Arabidopsis thaliana: one gene and its partners. The protein of the gene in region 1 interacts with the protein of each later gene in a biochemical or structural test. Each region holds a gene or a part of one and is shown in the gene's direction. Other genes may lie near its edges.

Region 1 (5,178 bases):
TGAGCTAGTCAGCTAGCAAGCGAATTTGATTTACTTCTAATAAGTTTCATGTAACTGCTTCAGCGTATAAGGAAAGAAAGGTGATGTCCGATGAGGCAGCTGACTACTTTGCAAGTATGTGGCCGCCTCTTCTTGAAAACGTAAGGTCTTCTTATAATCTTATTCAGTTTTCTAAGGCATTTTGTAAGTTTGGATACACTGAATGGACTAACTGATCTTTCTTCTTTAACCCACTTTGTGAAACATTTGGTTTATTTCGAAAGTCTCAAAAAGAGGAGATTGAAGCATTGCAGGATGGAACTCTCACCCCACAAAAGACTAGGCGGTTTTGTATCTTCTTCTTTTAGTACTAGATATTAACTTGTTTTTGTAGCTCTATCTATATCTATCTCAAAATGATATTCCCCATACATAGATAAATTATGACTTGTTTAATTTGTTTGTTTTGATGAAATTTGTGTATAATTTGGCGGTACTGTTTCGTGTTGAAGAGCCCAAGCTTGTTTAAATTGTTTCTTGTTGGGTTCTGTCTAGCTTCTGTTGATTTACGACTACAATACTATGTTCATGTAATCACACAAAAAACGATATGAGACCAAAAAAACATAAACAGTTCAAACAAGATGGGCTCTTCAACACGAAAGAAAGGTGAAATGTTGATAAAATAAAATAAACAGAAAACGATATGAGATCGAAAAAGGTCGGTCATATAGAGCTTCTTCCTTCCTCTTTACTCCTTGGCCTTCTCGACGGCGACTTCCTCAGCAGCCGCAACTTCAGTCTGTTTCTCCTCCAACGCCTCAGTCTTCTTCTCCTCCGGAGTTTCAGTCACTTCTTCAGCTTTCTTCTCCTCCTCCACAACTGTTGGAGTTTCAGTGATCACTGCTGCCTTCTCTTCTTCATCCTCATTTGTCTTCTCTGCATCTTCCACAAACACTTCTTCCGGGTGTTGATTCACCTCCGTCTCAACGATCTCTACTGCTACTGAAGTCACGTGTTCAACCTGTAAGCGAAAACACACTTATTAAACGAAAAAATGCATGCCGTTTAAACGGCGAATAGTCCATATCACTTGATAGACATAGATTTCTAGATACATGATATATATATATATATATATTAACAACGAATATGAACCATAGATACAGGTTTATAGTTTGACAAAATAAAAATAAAGAGAATATATACCTCAACGGTGGCCATTTCGAAGGAAAATATAGTGTATGTGATGCTTTGGTGTATGAAGAGATTTGATCAAGATGAGAGGTATTTATAGTAGAAGCAAACCGTTTACAATAATGTTTTTTCAAACTAAATATCTATTAAGATAAAATTATTAGTTTTTTGAAAGAACCATGATGATGATTATTGCACATGAACGAACCTTTTTTTTGCTTATATATAAAAGCAATTGTACTATTTTACACCTCATGCCCACATAGTATGGGGTGACTGGAGAGGGCTTTAGAGGGTAGCTGTTACTTTATATAAGCTGTAAAGTCTTATACTGTGATTTTTATTTTTTAAAAAATAAAGCTATGACTTAAAAAAAAATATAGTTTTACGAATTTTTACTTTAAAATAAGTTGTAAAGTTATATACATACTGTAAATTTTATTTTAGGAATTTTTTCATATTTTTAAAAAGTACAAAATAAAATATTGTTTTTGTTATTCCTCAGCTCTTGTGAAAAATCATTACTTAATCTTCATTAATCGATTGTTTAGGTCTTATTAATCATGTGTTGAGTTGGGACCATGATTAAGCAATAAGAGTCATTTACCTCCTGTCAAGTATGCATATGCATATACTTTTGGTTGTTGAATATTGTTGGTTGCAAGCAGTACAATCGGGAGAGAAAGGATCGAAAGATCGACAAAGGTGTTGCTAAAGCTGAGGGTGCTGATTAATCAAGGATTAATCAATACGATATCTGAAGCTAAAACTAGAACACCAAAATGTTGATTCATGATCTTAACTCCTAAACATTTCCTTGGTTAATGAAAGAGTTCGTTCATCTTTCAAACCATTGACAATAATAGCAGCTGTCACCTCTTCTTCACCATTACGGGCTTCTTCTTGATGTAATGGTGAATAGTAAGGCCTCTATGCTGTTATACAATGCTTTAAGTACAAGGATTTAAAAAATATTTACAAGCCTTTTTTTAAGAGTTTTAAAAGGATTTACAATGATTTTAAAGGATTTTAAAACTTTTATAATTCCTTTTAAAGTCATTTGAAAACTTTTGTAAATGCTTTCAAAACTCTCAAAAAATTTTTTTTTTTTTTTTTAAACTCTTAAAATTATCCTTGTTGTATATATTATTTAAAGCCTTTTAAACCCTTAAAATATATTTTACAATGGTTTTAAATGATTTATAAGGATTCTAAAATATTGAAAAAATGTTTTAAAAAGGATTTTAAAGTATTTACATGTATATTTAAAAACTTTATAAGGATTTTAATAAGTTTTAAAATGGTTTACAAGAGTTTTTAACAATTTTACAAAGCTTTAAAAAACTTTACTAGGATTTTCTAAGAATTTTTAAAGGATTTACAATGGTTTTTTAAGGGTTCTAAACAAAATTAGAAAGACTTTAAATGCAATTTTTTGGCGGGAAAAAACAGAGAAAATAAAATTTTGGCACTTAAAATTTAGGTGGGTAAGTTTTGGTTTCTAACTACATGTTCTCATTAGATTTGATGATGATTAATTTAGTCATTTTGGTTAAGAAAGTGGTTATTTTTAAAAATGGGCCAAAAAAGGATATCATAGTAGAATTGTGGTTTGGGCTTAAAAGCCCATTACCCCTCCCCTAATTAGTTTTCAACTTTTCATGGAGTCTTCGGTTTTCGACTTTGGATCGGAGTCGGGGAACATGAATTTCGACGAGACCGTGCCACTGAGCCAACGATTGGAGTGGTCAGACGTGGTCCCATTGACTCAGGACGATGGTCCGAATCCAGTGGTGCCAATTGCCTACAAGGAAGAGTTCCGCGAGACTATGGATTACTTCCGTGCGATTTACTTTTCCGACGAGCGATCTCCTCGCGCACTACGACTCACGGAAGAAACCCTCCTCTTAAACTCCGGCAACTACACAGTAATCAATCTTATAATTCATATAATCAACAACTATCTGAACTCTTATGGTTTTGAAATTTGATGGATTTTAGTCTTTTATTGGTCCTTGTTGCTTCAATTTTTAGTCTTACCGATATTTTTGTTTACCTTTGAAGGTGTGGCATTTCAGGCGCCTAGTACTCGAGGCCCTTAATCACGACTTGTTTGAAGAACTCGAGTTCATCGAACGCATTGCTGAGGATAACTCTAAGAACTACCAACTGTGGTAAAGTTCATACCTTTTCACACCTTGTTTGATCTATGTGCTTTTGATCATGAAAGTCTATGAGTGAGTTATACTTTTGAAAATTGTCTGATGAATAATTTTGAATCAATAAATGTATATTCTACTTCTCCATAGATGAAAGTTTGTTCTTGTACACATTGTTAAGTTCATAGTGTCTCATATCTGCTGATTATACAACGTTAAAACCCTTGGTTGTTTGTTTTGAGTTTGATGGTCCATGCTTCTGCTCTATGTTTTCCTTTTCTCTAGGCATCATCGGCGATGGGTTGCAGAGAAACTGGGTCCTGATGTTGCAGGGAGAGAACTTGAATTTACCCGTAGAGTACTTTCACTTGATGCCAAACATTATCATGCTTGGTCACATAGGCAGGTTTGCGATCTCAAACCTTGTTAAAGCATTCACTTGGGGTATCATTGCATATCTTTTTGTTTGATAATATGGAAACAATCTGCAGTGGACACTACGGGCATTAGGAGGATGGGAAGATGAGCTCGATTACTGTCACGAGCTCCTTGAAGCTGACGTCTTTAACAATTCCGCCTGGAATCAGGTAACTTGATCGTTGATACACATACGAAATTCTGTATCTCTAATCTATCAATTGCCGATTCTGTCACCTATTTGTATAATCTCATTCCCTTAATCTGACAGAGGTATTATGTCATCACCCAATCTCCTTTGTTGGGAGGCCTAGAAGCCATGAGAGAATCTGAAGTAAGCTACACAATCAAAGCCATTTTAACCAATCCTGCAAACGAGAGCTCATGGCGATACCTAAAAGCTCTTTACAAAGACGACAAAGAATCCTGGATTAGTGATCCAAGTGTTTCCTCAGTCTGTTTGAATGTTCTATCCCGCACAGATTGCTTCCATGGATTCGCTCTGAGCACCCTTTTGGATCTTCTATGTGATGGACTGAGACCAACCAACGAGCATAAAGACTCAGTGAGAGCTCTAGCTAATGAAGAACCAGAGACTAACTTGGCCAATTTGGTGTGTACTATTCTTGGTCGTGTAGATCCTGTAAGAGCTAACTATTGGGCATGGAGGAAGAGCAAGATTACAGTGGCAGCAATTTGAATATGTGACGCCCCAAAATCACACTTGAAAAAGACTTGATTATTAGTTTTTACGTATGTACTGCTTATTTATGAATCACATGTTCATGTTAACATGTATCAAAACAATCTTGATTTCTCAGTTTCCTTCGCCTTGTGATATTCAGAGAAGCTTTCTCAAGAATGATTTTGCATCACACACTTTGACTAAACGCATTGCTCTCTCGATAACCGGAAGATCAAAACCGAAACCGGGTTTTGGTTTGGCTCGCGGATTTCCCCAATTCAATTTTAACGACAAAACTATACTAATTCATAAGATTAAAAAAAAAGTTTCTGAAGTGGTCGAAGTCGGAAGCGTGATTTGGTCGAAAGATTGGTTCTTTCTCCGACAAGAATTATGTCCAAATCTGGGTTTAGTCTGCTGTTCCTCGTTCTTCTACTTATCATGGGTTTCTTATTTCCGTTGAGAGTTTCTGCAATTAGGTGATTAATTTTGGGTAACAACCATTGCTTCTATGAATTGTCCCGCTTAGTTTCATTTCCTTGAGATTTTCGAATGAATTTGCAGGAAGGATATCGGATTTTTGGAAGAGCGGAGTTGCAGAACAACTGTCCAAGGAAGATACTTGATCTCCGATGATGAAGGTTAGCGATTTCCACTCTTGGAAAGATTCACCTTTTTGAACATTTTGAATCTCTTTCGACTTAGATTTGGTGATCCATGAATGGTTTGTTGTTGCAACTT
Region 2 (7,071 bases), on another chromosome or scaffold:
AAGGTTTTGTCGTCGAAGGTAGTCTTCGTAACTGAAACATCAAAAATTCTAGTGATCTCATACCAAGAACTACACCCAATGTGCTCATGATAACAAAACTCACAAGGAAAATAGTTAAATCCCTTACCAAAGCTTCTCTGCAAGGTTGTACCTAGTTACCAAAAATAATAGCGTTAGTCTTCTGTAAGGGTATCAAAACTCCAGGAATAAGTCACAACCAGTGTTACAGAAAACGTGAAAATCAATTTACTTGGGTCGTGTAGGGTATGGAGCTGTCTTAGCCACTTGAAGAAAAATCTGATGATCATGCAAATATTCACCATTCTTCTTTTGCAGCGCCTACAGTATAAAAGATTTAGTCAGCAATTGTACTTTTCAAATGACTACTTGAATACCTTTTTCATAATTACAACAAAACTACTCTCACCTTCTTTGCTTCGTTAGAAGAAGCAAAGTCAACAAAGCCATAGCCCACATGCTTGGTTTACAATAAGTCGAACACTAACAACTTCTCCAACATCTTTGAAGAATTCTTTGCTGTAAAAGTGAAGGATAAAATATCAGTCATAGAAAACTTGGTCCGAGAATGAAAGTGGAAATTTGAGGTGCTACTTACACATGCAATATTTTAGTTTGGGGAGAGAGATTGGCAACATAGAGTACTTCCTGAATTCAAAAAAATAGAGATTGGCAATATTTTAGTGTGTGAATAATATTCATCCCTAAAAAGAAGTCATCTTTCGACTTTGTGGCAACAGTTCTGTTATTAAAATGTGTGAGCGTGACATATTTTGAAGAGGTACCTCAACAAAATCGGAAGGTGTCTCATTTTCTTCTATCGGAAGGCTTTCTCGTTGAAGGTAGTCGTTGTAGCTGAAAAATTAAGAAAACCTAGTGAGCTCTTCATGTATTCAAAAATTCAACCAGTGTAATCAAACTCAAGAGGTAAATAGTTAAAATCCCATACCAAACCGTGTAATCTATGCAATACCTAATTAACAAAGTTAAAAGCGTTAGTCTAGCAGTAATATTGTATCAAAAGCTCTAACAGTAATTAATAACCAGTGTCACCAGAAACAAATGTCAATAACATGGAAAATTGAATTTACTTGAGTCCTGGAGGTCGTGGACGTCGTGGAGGCTGTGGACGTCGTGAATACACATAAAGAAAAATCTTATAATCGTGCAAATATTCACCGTTCTTCTTATACAGCACCTACGGTAATAAAGAGTTTATTCAGCAATCGTACATTCAAATTGAAACTTAGATACACTATATATTTTTCATCATAACTAACTATAAACTAGTCTAAACCTTTTTTGCTTCGTTAGCAGAAGCAAAGTCAACAAGGCCATAGCACCTATGGATACGCTTGGCGGTTACAAAAAGTCGAACACGAACAACTTCTCCAGCATCTTTGAAGAAATTGATGCTGTAACAAACAGTGTAAGGTAAAAATATCAGTCATGCTCAGAGAAGGAAAGTGGAGATTGAAGATGGTGCTACTTACATATCTGATATTTTAGTTTGGGGAGGGATATGGCCATTAAAGAGCGTCTTTTTTGTCACCTGGATTTAACAGCCAAGTGTGTTAGCACAAGATTCTTAATTGAACAGAAATTTGTACAAAATATCTAGCAAATCCGTTGGTTGTTTCCTCCTGTTACATATGATACAAGATCAAAGAGTAGCCATTAGAAGAAGACAGTGTAAAGAAGATTGTTTTGTCAAAGAAGAAGAGTAATACGAGGCCATCTTAGGGTTACCTTATTCTACTTATGTCTCTTGAGAATGGAATTGGTCACCAAATCATCTTCTTCAGGGTTACGCTTACCTAAAAGAAGAGCAACAAAAAAAAAACTCTTGAGACAAGTTTAACACATTAGATAAAAGAGAGAGAGAGAGAGGCAACCAAAAACAAACCCAATAAATTGCTACTAGAAGTGGCCATGGAGAAGATGAAACGAGGTTTATGTATTTTTCCGTTAAGAGCAAGCAATAATATAGCCCTAAAGAAATATAGACCTAGCCTAGGAAGAAGTTTCTAAGACCATCCTTATCAATGAACTCTTACATAAAGTTCTAAACAATTTTGATATACAAAATAATGTTTAAACATTAGAATGGCTCTTACAAAAAAAGAGAATAAAGAAAAAAAAAACTTAGCTAAGAGCCATTTTTCATTTCTTAAGCACACTTTTTTATTTTTTTATTCTTATTTTATTTAATATAATATTTTGATAGTTCTTATGATATTGTTAACAACCTATTGATAAGGATGCTCTAACTAATCTTATAAATAAAACAATGAATCTGGTTTGGTCTGGGCGTAACAGAAATTATACTCTTTTTTTTTTTTGTCAAGAGGAAATTATACTAAGAAGCAACAGATTAAACATTAAAGCGTATAGTAAAATTAATTGTTTGAGAATCTTAAACCAAACCGAACCGGTATTAAACCGGAACCAAATTGGCAATGAAATTTAGATGCCAGTAGTAACCCGCTTGATTCGTTTGAAGTGTGTAGGGCTCAGACTTGACCGGAGTGGACTCAATCGGCGAATCTGTCACGGAGGACACGGGGAATCAACGCGGCGGAGAGTGATGGAAGAGCTTTCAAGCCTAACCGTGAGTCAGCGCGAGCAATTTCTGGTGGAGAACGATGTGTTCGGGATCTATAATTACTTCGACGCCAGCGACGTTTCTACTCAAAAATACATGTAAGCTCACGGATTTGATTTTCTAGTTTTCTTCATGATCTGATGAATTTTAGTAGCGTCGTGAAAGAATTATTTTCGTCGATAGATGAATCTTACTGATATGGAAGTTGTTCTATCCTAGGATGGAGATTCAGCGAGATAAGCAATTGGATTATCTGATGAAAGGCTTAAGGCAGCTTGGTCCGCAGTTTTCTTCCTTAGATGCTAAGTAAGTGACATGATGCTTGGCTTCTTGTTTTCATGAATTTCTTAGTACATTTTGTCCAGTGAGAGAGTAAAGCCCCTTTGGATTTTTGCCAATAGATTAGAAGTTTGATTTTGGCTTTTTTGGATTTTGGAACAGTCGACCTTGGCTTTGTTACTGGATTCTTCATTCAATAGCTTTGCTTGGGGAGACTGTGGATGATGAATTAGAAAGCAATGCCATTGACTTCCTTGGACGCTGCCAGGTTAGGCTCAATTCCTTTTGCTTGTACCCAATCATGAAAACTCTTCATATTTGCTCTTGCATTCTTCTTGATTTTCTGCTCCTTTAGTTCACGTTTTCTTTTCCCGTTGCTATTAGTGTTATCTGTTATTGTTCTTTATGTACTTAGTTTGCTTTCTCATGTCGCTTGTCAGGGCTCTGAAGGTGGATACGGTGGTGGTCCTGGCCAAGTAAGTATATGTCTGTTTCTTTAAAGTGTGTGGATCACTTTCATTTCATGCAATTGGAGAATAAACATTGAGACCAGATTATTTTATTCTGCCAGATCTCTTTTAGGTGTTTTTTTTATGCATCATCTCATTGTTTGGTTGTGATGCCTTTAATTCAAGCAGCACACGTAGTTTAAGTTTAAGTTTTTTTCTGTGAAGACGTAAAATGGTGTCTTTAGTTCAAGCAGCATTTAGTTGTTTAAGTTTGTGGTTGTAAATTTTCCAAACATGGCAGAGAAAGTTAGGATATATAACTTTTGGTCTGCCTTTTTCAGTTTCCTTTTTTTTTCTACTAGTAATGGAGATATTTTTTCCCAGCTTCCACATCTTGCAACTACTTATGCTGCAGTGAATGCACTTGTTACTTTAGGAGGTGACAAAGCCCTTTCTTCAATTAATAGGTGGTGCATTCTTTTTTCTTTGTGGTCAGTTTCTTTTATTAAGAGTCTAGTGATGTTTCCTCTAGAATACTTACATGTGACTCATTCTTCTTTCAGAGAAAAAATGTCTTGTTTTTTAAGACGGATGAAGGATACAAGTGGAGGTTTCAGGTTTGATTCTCTTTCTGCTTGAACTTCTTAAAGGCATCATTTTTACTGACAGCTCACTCTTTATGCATTCGTATCGCTGTTAATGCCATACCTTCAGTCATGTTGTTTTTTTAATTCTTGCTTAATTCTACTTACTCACTGATCGTTAGGATGCATGATATGGGAGAAATGGATGTTCGTGCATGCTACACTGCAATTTCGGTGAGTTTTACCAACTTCTATTTTCCTTTTCTCTGTTTTTGTGGACACCAAAACTTTTTAGGATTAATGAGATCAACAAAGTCTGGACCCATTATGCTATGTTTCTTCCGTTTTCATGGCTTAAACATCACATTCAGATTACGATATGATCTTATTATTTGCACACTTGCGCCCACCAGATACTTTGAATAGAGATTACTCGTTTTGAGACTTACACGTGTTGCAAATGCATCCTATGGCTGGTTTTCTCCCTGATATGTTTGACTTCTCTCTTGTGACACAGGTTGCAAGCATCCTAAATATTATGGATGATGAACTCACCCAGGGCCTAGGAGATTACATCTTGAGGTAGCTTTTCTTATTACTTTTATCTCGCATTATATATATATAGCTGAACTACTGTTATACAGTTGTAAATTCAGGAATTCATTAATTTCCCTGGGAAAGCTCTTTTAACTCGATTTATATTGAGCAGTTGCCAAACTTATGAAGGTGGCATTGGAGGGGAACCTGGCTCCGAAGCTCACGGTGGGTATGGTCTCCTACTTACTTCCATTATGTTGAGGCTTAGATAAAAATTGTGCTTTGCTTCCCTCTTCCTTGATGACATGGTTATTGATGGTTAAGTATAATTAATTTTCTGAAATAGGATTTGTCACCTGCAGCTTTGCTTATTACCAAGTTGTTTTTTGTTTAGGTATACCTACTGTGGTTTGGCTGCTATGATTTTAATCAATGAGGTCGACCGTTTGAATTTGGATTCATTAATGGTAACATACAATGCTGTTTGGAGATGATTAATAATTTTCCCTGAGAGATATTTTCCTTACCAAATAATTTCCTTATGATTCTAGAATTGGGCTGTACATCGACAAGGAGTAGAAATGGGATTTCAAGGTAGGACGAACAAATTGGTCGATGGTTGCTACACATTTTGGCAGGTTAACTTTCTATCTTTCAGGATTATTATTGGCCCTACTTCTAAATTCTTCACCGTTGTTGTCTTTTCTTATTTCCTTTGGGTATATGTTAAACAGGCAGCCCCTTGTGTTCTACTACAAAGATTATATTCAACCAATGATCATGACGTTCATGGATCATCACATATATCAGAAGGGACAAATGAAGAACATCATGCTCATGATGAAGATGACCTTGAAGACAGTGATGATGATGATGATTCTGATGAGGACAACGATGAAGGTATTCAATCAAATTTCTCAACCATCAAGTCCATCTGATAATTCAAAACACAACGAAATTTTAGTTAGCTTATATTTGCAGATTCAGTGAATGGTCACAGAATCCATCATACATCCACCTACATTAACAGGAGAATGCAACTGGTTTTTGATAGCCTCGGCTTGCAGAGATATGTACTCTTGTGCTCTAAGGTCAGTCCAGAACAAAACATCCAGTCAAGTTAACACTTAACATTTGTATAACACAAGCACACACACTTGTATGCGCAGATCCCTGACGGTGGATTCAGAGACAAGCCGAGGAAACCCCGTGACTTCTACCACACATGTTACTGCCTGAGCGGCTTGTCTGTGGCTCAGCACGCTTGGTTAAAAGACGAGGACACTCCTCCTTTGACTCGCGACATTATGGGTGGCTACTCGAATCTCCTTGAACCTGTTCAACTTCTTCACAACATTGTCATGGATCAGTATAATGAAGCTATCGAGTTCTTCTTTAAAGCAGCATGACCCGTTGTTGCTAATGTATGGGAAACTCCAAACATAAGAGTTTTCGTAGTGTTGTAACTTGTAAGATTTCAAAAGAAGTTTCACTAATTTAACCTTAAAACCTGTTACTTTTTTATTACGTATATACCATTTATCATATCTTTGGTTTACGACTTAAAGAATTTGATGATTGTTGAAAGACTTGCATCGTTATTGGTTTTAGAGAATTCTGACAAACTCGTGTAGTAGAAATGCATGGATTCGTAGTGAACGAGTTTGTATCCGATATCACCTGAACGTCAGGTGTTTCGAACCAAAAATTGGATGTTAAAACCAAAAAATAGATCAACCAAACATGAACATATCTTTGTTCTTCAAATCTTGTCGAGATATAATATTTAACAAAAAAAAAAAAACTTATTACTTCCACCGTCACCAATTCCCCCCCAGAAACAAGAACCCATGTAATGAAGTAAATCATGGCTAAGCCACGTAGTTACATCAGTACTTGAGCTTTGATTCCATACGTTCTCATTTGGAAGTTTTCAAATGCCTCAGAAACTGCTTCTACCTGTAGAATAAACATTGCAAACCAGAAAAATAAAAACGTTACTTTGTGGTTAAATAAAACGAAACAGTAATGTAATCATAAAAGAGAGTAATAATCACATACCAATTCTGGTTTTTTGGCATATACTCTCACTATCATTTCTTGATATGTTGTTGGTAACAAGTGGCTAACTCTGTCCTCAGGTATCACAAACTTCTCTGCACTATTATAATCCTGTAAATACCATAGAAAAATCAATTTGTTTATTGAGATTCTCTGTGTTATTTTCAAGGTTTCCTCTCTTTACACATTTAGAGAATCAAATCTGCATAACAAGAACGAAGACTTTTATGTATGTACCTTATAGAAGTTGATGCTAAAGAAGTCAAGCACAAGGATAAGTTGGTTAGAACTTTAATGAGGAAATTGAGAAAACAGAGAAGCTAAACTGTACTTTGTTTACCATTCAAGAGGATTTTCTCTCCCACGAGCTAAATCAATCTTGACGTTTGTAACAGCTATATCTTCTTCTTTTAGTGTCAAGCTTGTTTGCTTCTGTTAAATCAGAGTGATACGTATATATGGCAAAGGTCCTCACTGTATATAAAAATAGTTTCCTCTTATTTTGCTGTGTTAAAGATTACAAACCTGAGAAACAGAT
Region 3 (6,100 bases), on another chromosome or scaffold:
AGTTGTACAACGGCGTAAACTAGTCCGATGACGGCAGCGGACAGCATGTATCTTCATGAATGATGAATCCAAACATATATGCAAAAAATAGGTAAAAATAGTTAGTCAAATATTGGATACAAAATTTTCACAGAGAAGGTAAATAATTTATTTACCTATAAGCATAGACATCGTTGAAAGGCAATTTGATAGACGTGCTTGAAATTTCGAGAGTGACGGTGTTGGTGCTGATGAGGACCACCGTTATGAGGAGGAAAGCCGCGGTCAAAACCCTAAGGAGAAGGAGCACTGTCCTCAACGTAACGGACGGTGGTGCCGGAGGTGGTGGAGCCATATAAATCTTCCCGTTAATTAATCGTTACGCTTTAAAGAGTAAGATGAAAATGATTAAGGCTAAGATGTTCGAATGCAAGACATGGAATGTTGACTAATTTATAGCCAAAATTTACGTTGACTCGAGTTCGAAGAGTTGATTTTTGTTACATTATAATATTTAACCATAATGTAAAATATATATATGCACAAATTGTATTCTTCAATTCGTGCTGGAGCTTGCTGGAACTCGATCACCACTTCTAAGTTCTAACTTAGTAATTGAAGTCGTGATATATTTTATTGACATATGGTATTAATTTAGATTTAAAACAGTTTTTAGCCAAGGAATTGTAAGTCTAAATTCATAGTCTTCGTAGCCAGAAGGCAACCTTTGATATTATTTTTATTATCTATATCTTTTTTTTTTTTTGGACAAAGCTTGTATCTACATCTAACTGAGAAAAAAGAATGTTTTTCTTTGTCATATTATTGTTCTCAAATTCTGATTATACAACTTTTGACATCAAATCATAATTATGCAATCAAACAAACAAACCAAAAAAGAAATATGCGACTAGCGTAATTTTTGCGCCACAATGTATTTTATATGCATAGCAAATCATTAGAATCCTAGTACAACTGTACAAAGTTCGAGTTGGACACCTAGCAGCGATAATTCAAACCATGTTTCCATCTAATGTAACAGTATAGACTTAGTCGTCTATCAATTTTAGGTGCAATCATTCGTATTAAAAAGAAAACTTAGTTTTTTTTTCATACTGTTTAGAGGAACAAAATACATGTAACAAGAGGTACATTTTTGTTTGAGTTAAATTTTACAATTTTTGAATATATAGTCAACGAAGACCGAAAAAGTTGAGTCAATTCCTAAGAATCAATCTGCCACATGCATCGCCGTGCTTGAAGGGCGGCTCACTGTCTTCTTGCTTATTACTACAGTTAAATCTTTTTTTTTCAACATCTAATGCTATACTTTTAATCTATAATATATATTAGATGTGACTTAAGGAATTTCAATAGTTATACATAATAATAAAAATGAATATTTGTTAGTGTTACAAACTGTGTGTCATAATCATCATTCATCAGGATTTCAAAAATATCTCAAAATTGTTGTAAGTTCATGTAATTCGAAATGAATGTGCACTATAAGAAATAAATTTACAATTTAAAAAATGCTTCAATACTGGTTACAAAAAAAACTTTCAATACTAGTATTATACTACTTACTTAGTCAAAAAAGTTTATGAATATGGTTTTTTCTGTATGTTAATATTTTTAACTGAAAATAGTACCGACATAACAAGTAAAGATATCTTTATTTAAAGTAACAAACATTAATTTCACTTCAAATTCTCACTATTAAGGATTCCTCTCTTTGTAGCCACATTTCACCATCACTACTTTGTTTTCGCATATCTTTAAATTTTGTATACGTAGCAAACTCTTTCGAGAAAACAAGATGAAGCTCGTGGTTGTACAATTCTTCATAATCTCTCTTCTCCTCACATCTTCATTTTCTGTACTTTCAAGTGCTGATTCGTGTAAGTGTTTACTTAATCTAGTTAATAATTGTAGGTCATGCATGTATCATTTTGAAACAAGTTTTCTGAAATTCTAAGATTTTACATATATATGTGATAAATGAATTAGCAGCATGCGGTGGAAAGTGCAATGTGAGATGCTCAAAGGCAGGACAACATGAAGAATGCCTCAAGTACTGCAATATATGTTGCCAGAAGTGTAATTGTGTTCCTTCGGGAACTTTTGGACACAAAGATGAATGTCCTTGCTACCGTGATATGAAAAACTCCAAAGGTGGATCCAAGTGTCCTTGAACGTTCTTTGAAGATCCTCATCACATACATATAACTTCTACGTACTATATGTGTGGAAATATTAATCACATTCTATGTTTGAAATATATAAAATAAAATCAATGCCCCCAATGTTGGAAATCTTCAATGTGATATCTTAATATATATCACGAATAAAAAAGTTTAAATTTCTCAATCTCATTTTTAATCTTTAATCTAATTTCTTAACACATCAACGAATCTTTAATCTTTAATCATGTAGATAATTATCAGAGCACCTAAACATTGCGCCGTTTTGTGATTATACAAAGTAACATCGTGCTGTTTTTGACTTTTGAAAACCACAGATCCAAAAACTGTTTACTTTCCTCTAAGAGAAAGCAAAGCCGAGTGAGTCCAAGCGAGTTTTGAGAGATTCGTTGACTCACTACCGGAGAACGACGCTATGTCAGAGACCGCCGTGTCAATCGATTCGGACCGATCTAAGTCGGAGGAAGAAGACGAAGAAGAGTATTCTCCACCGGTGCAATCATCTCCGTCAGCGAATTTCGAGAAAGATCGACACTTGATGTATTTGGAGATGATGTACGAGTTGCTTCCGTACCATTACCAATCTCAGGAGATCAATCGTCTTACACTCGCTCATTTCATAATCTCGGGTCTTCATTTTCTCGGCGCAAGAGACCGTGTTAGTCTCTTTCTCCTCTCTCTCAAAGAATCGATCTTTGTTTTTCCCCTGAATCTGATTTAGTGAATTTCATCTATAATTTCTGAAGGTTGATAAAGATGTTGTTGCAAAGTGGGTTTTGTCCTTCCAGGCCTTTCCTACTAACAGAGTTTCACTGAAAGATGGTATTTTTCTTGAATTTAGTTAGAAGTATGTTTATGAGCAAATTGTTAATTAGTTAGTGATCAATGAATGAGATGTTCTTGTTCTTCTCTGCAGGAGAATTCTATGGTTTCTTTGGTTCAAGGAGTTCTCAGTTTCCCATTGATGAGAATGGGGTAATTATAAGTCTATATTCCTTATGCTTTATATGTTACAAGATTTATCTTTGTTTTGCATCTGTGTGGGCTTGACAGTTTAGTTTGTTGCGTAGGATTTAAAGCACAACGGTAGTCACTTGGCAAGCACTTACTGTGCTTTGGCTATTCTGAAGGTCATTGGACATGATCTCTCGACCATCGACTCAAAATCATTGCTAATTTCCATGATAAACCTTCAACAGGATGATGGAAGGTATTAGTTCTTAGAGCTTAAAAAAGTAAAATGCATTTTATAATGCCATAAGTTTATTACTTATTTTCTTTGTTCTAAGTCGTTTAGGCTAGCAATATTCTCATTTACATGGTGCAACAAGTTTGGCTTGTCAGCATATAATGATTAAATAAGCAATGGGGTCTGAATTGTGTTTGATACTTTTTTATTTTGCTACAGCTTCATGCCTATCCATATTGGAGGTGAAACGGATCTTCGATTTGTATATTGTGCAGGTAAGGAATAGCTACCTAACAGGATTTACATACCATGTCTTTATACTTTACGTAGAGTATCAATCTAGTTTTTTTTTTTTTTTGTGGTTCAGCTGCAATCTGTTACATGCTGGATAGTTGGAGTGGAATGGATAAGGAGAGTGCTAAGAACTACATATTAAACTGTCAGGTTTACTTCTGATCTTGTAGTTGCTTTTGTCTTTTTTTCTTCCATTGATATTTGTCAATTTCTGTGTTGAGAAGACATTCTTGTGCAACATTCTTTGTGCAGTCATATGATGGTGGTTTTGGATTGATCCCTGGTTCTGAATCTCATGGTGAGTTGAAAACAATTTTTCTACTATCTCACAGTTGATTTTTTCCATGTGCAGTCCAACTAAGTGGCGCATATGTTATTACTGAATTGATCATTGAGGACACTTTAGATAATTTAGTTCCTTCATCTAGGTTTCTACTTCAATGGCAACCCATAAAGAAAAGAAGTTTACTATGTTCTTACGTTATGAGGGAAATGTGTTTAATTGACTCCACTCGTGTATGATGCTTACCTACGTTCTGCAACTTAGTTATGCAGGTGGTGCCACTTACTGTGCTATTGCATCCCTTCGGTTGATGGGATACATTGGAGTTGATCTGCTGTCAAATGATTCATCCAGTTCAATAATAGACCCTTCATTACTTCTCAACTGGTGCCTACAGGTACTGCTTCATAAAATCTGTTAACTTTCACCTCATAAATATTACCTTTAGATTCGTAATGGCCTGAGTGATCTGAAATTTTTTCTTACCTTGCCTGTAGAGACAAGCAAATGATGGTGGGTTTCAAGGTAGGACTAACAAGCCAAGTGACACATGCTATGCATTTTGGTTAGTCCCCTCAACTTTTGCTGTCACCGACCCTAATTGTTCTCATCTGCTTATGATGGGCCTTGCATATTTGTAGGATTGGAGCTGTCCTTAAACTTATAGGAGGCGATGCATTGATCGACAAAATGGCTCTGCGCAAATTTTTAATGAGTTGTCAGTCCAAGGTAACTATTCTCTACATCTCATATCTCAGCTGATATTAATTTCTAAATTTGTAAAGTAACTGAGTAGATAGGCAAACCTGCAACTAAGCTAATATTTATTTAGCAATATTACTAGTAGCAGCCTATAGAGCCATTAGGATAGTTTGGTACATTGTCTTCATTCATGTGTTTACATCTACGATTCATGATCGGTTACTGATGATAACAATCTGCTTAACGCCGCCATTGTTTGTGCATTTTTGTGTCCAGTATGGTGGATTCAGTAAATTCCCCGGACAATTACCAGATCTGTATCATTCATACTACGGTTACACGGCTTTTAGTCTCTTGGAAGAACAGGGCTTGAGTCCTCTATGTCCTGAGCTAGGTTTACCTCTTCTTGCAGCCCCGGGAATTTGATGTTTAGATTGTCTCAAAGTCACATTCTTTTTTCACCACATTGTAACATTTATGTCAACATTCCGTGTGGTAACATTGCTAAAACTCACAGAATGAATATTGTAAACCAAAGAAAAGCAAATTTAGTTGTTGAGTTTTATTTTCTGTTCTTTTTAGACTAGGGACGAAAAATCAAAAACTTTTAAATCATAAATCTGTGAATAAGATGTTGCATGATTGTGTAAGAAAGTTCGGGAAAAAAAAACAAAAGACTATTGTAAGATTGCAGTTTCGCTTTGTTAACGAGTGAGTGGTGTTGTTGACGCCACTTGGATGGAAAAGTATCAGACATAAACTGCAAAAACTGGGACAAAATCCTAAAGGGGAAGAGATTCCCCACTTGGCCTCTCATGAGTCTTGTCTCTATTCATAAATCGTCTTATTCCAATTTACCGGTCGATGTTCTTCAATGCCGTAAAAAGAATCATTCTTACTGTAGTGTGTTTTGATGCAAATGATCTCGAATAAATCAAATTAGATTAGTATATAATTCTTTTACCTTTTCTCTTCACGTGTTCTGTTTAACTTTCTAACTCCATATTCGATAAAACGAGAATTAATTCCTTTTTAAAAGTGAAAGTCGGTTTAGGATTTGAGTGTTGAGTTCATGCATCTTTAAATGTCAACCACAACACTTGTGGTAACTTTGCTACAAGAAAATAGAATCCAAAGCCTATCTTTATTCGCGTGATTTGACTCAAAATCCACAAATTTGGCTAACAAATTCTCTATCCACCGAAAATTTACAACCGGTTTAATCCGATGACGAGCTAGACCAAAAAAAATGTTGATGATTAAGGACAATTAAATCAGACTAAAAACCGGTTTAATTCTATTAATCATTCCTGGTTTTTCTCTCCTAGACCTCATCTTCTTGAATCTTGATTACCAAATCCGATTCTTGAACTGTGTTTTACCAAACTTTTACCACTTGAATTTACTAAGCTTCTGCAATCTCCATCACTTTCTTCTTGTAAAGCTTCT

What was found.
Region 2: the proteins of FTA (region 1) and ERA1 form a complex in vitro, tested with the Arabidopsis thaliana proteins (one study listed by BioGRID).
Region 3: the proteins of FTA (region 1) and PGGT-I form a complex in vitro, tested with the Arabidopsis thaliana proteins (one study listed by BioGRID).

Annotation. Positions count from the first base shown.
Region 1 is NC_003074.8:21,941,330-21,946,507, forward strand, and holds FTA (farnesyltransferase A), read left to right. Parts: upstream 1-2,840; 5' UTR 2,841-2,879; coding exon 2,880-3,104; intron 3,105-3,240; coding exon 3,241-3,350; intron 3,351-3,620; coding exon 3,621-3,741; intron 3,742-3,826; coding exon 3,827-3,922; intron 3,923-4,023; coding exon 4,024-4,452; 3' UTR 4,453-4,678; downstream 4,679-5,178. Other genes in the region: AT3G59370 (Vacuolar calcium-binding protein-like protein), read right to left, coding at 731-1,003, 1,189-1,203; AT3G59390 (glycosyltransferase family protein), read left to right, coding at 4,831-4,916, 5,002-5,078. UniProt on the Arabidopsis thaliana protein: Essential subunit of both the farnesyltransferase and the geranylgeranyltransferase complex.
Region 2 is NC_003076.8:16,098,903-16,105,973, forward strand, and holds ERA1 (Prenyltransferase family protein), read left to right. Parts: upstream 1-2,488; coding exon 2,489-2,721; intron 2,722-2,842; coding exon 2,843-2,929; intron 2,930-3,064; coding exon 3,065-3,170; intron 3,171-3,342; coding exon 3,343-3,378; intron 3,379-3,735; coding exon 3,736-3,968; intron 3,969-4,117; coding exon 4,118-4,169; intron 4,170-4,452; coding exon 4,453-4,517; intron 4,518-4,644; coding exon 4,645-4,701; intron 4,702-4,866; coding exon 4,867-4,939; intron 4,940-5,023; coding exon 5,024-5,110; intron 5,111-5,206; coding exon 5,207-5,372; intron 5,373-5,453; coding exon 5,454-5,563; intron 5,564-5,641; coding exon 5,642-5,881; 3' UTR 5,882-6,059; downstream 6,060-7,071. Other genes in the region: AT5G40290 (HD domain-containing metal-dependent phosphohydrolase family protein), read right to left, coding at 6,357-6,431, 6,534-6,644, 6,771-6,786, 6,874-6,940, 7,059-7,071. UniProt on the Arabidopsis thaliana protein: Catalyzes the transfer of a farnesyl moiety from farnesyl diphosphate to a cysteine at the fourth position from the C-terminus of several proteins having the C-terminal sequence Cys-aliphatic-aliphatic-X (CaaX).
Region 3 is NC_003071.7:16,499,068-16,505,167, forward strand, and holds PGGT-I (Prenyltransferase family protein), read left to right. Parts: upstream 1-2,503; 5' UTR 2,504-2,598; coding exon 2,599-2,841; intron 2,842-2,929; coding exon 2,930-3,005; intron 3,006-3,099; coding exon 3,100-3,158; intron 3,159-3,253; coding exon 3,254-3,393; intron 3,394-3,591; coding exon 3,592-3,647; intron 3,648-3,739; coding exon 3,740-3,816; intron 3,817-3,918; coding exon 3,919-3,964; intron 3,965-4,221; coding exon 4,222-4,346; intron 4,347-4,446; coding exon 4,447-4,514; intron 4,515-4,590; coding exon 4,591-4,678; intron 4,679-4,927; coding exon 4,928-5,077; 3' UTR 5,078-5,312; downstream 5,313-6,100. Other genes in the region: AT2G39530 (Uncharacterized protein family (UPF0497)), read right to left, coding at 1-51, 156-334; AT2G39540 (Gibberellin-regulated family protein), read left to right, coding at 1,799-1,880, 1,993-2,174; AT2G39560 (Putative membrane lipoprotein), read right to left, coding at 6,057-6,100. UniProt on the Arabidopsis thaliana protein: Catalyzes the transfer of a geranyl-geranyl moiety from geranyl-geranyl pyrophosphate to a cysteine at the fourth position from the C-terminus of proteins having the C-terminal sequence Cys-aliphatic-aliphatic-X (CaaX).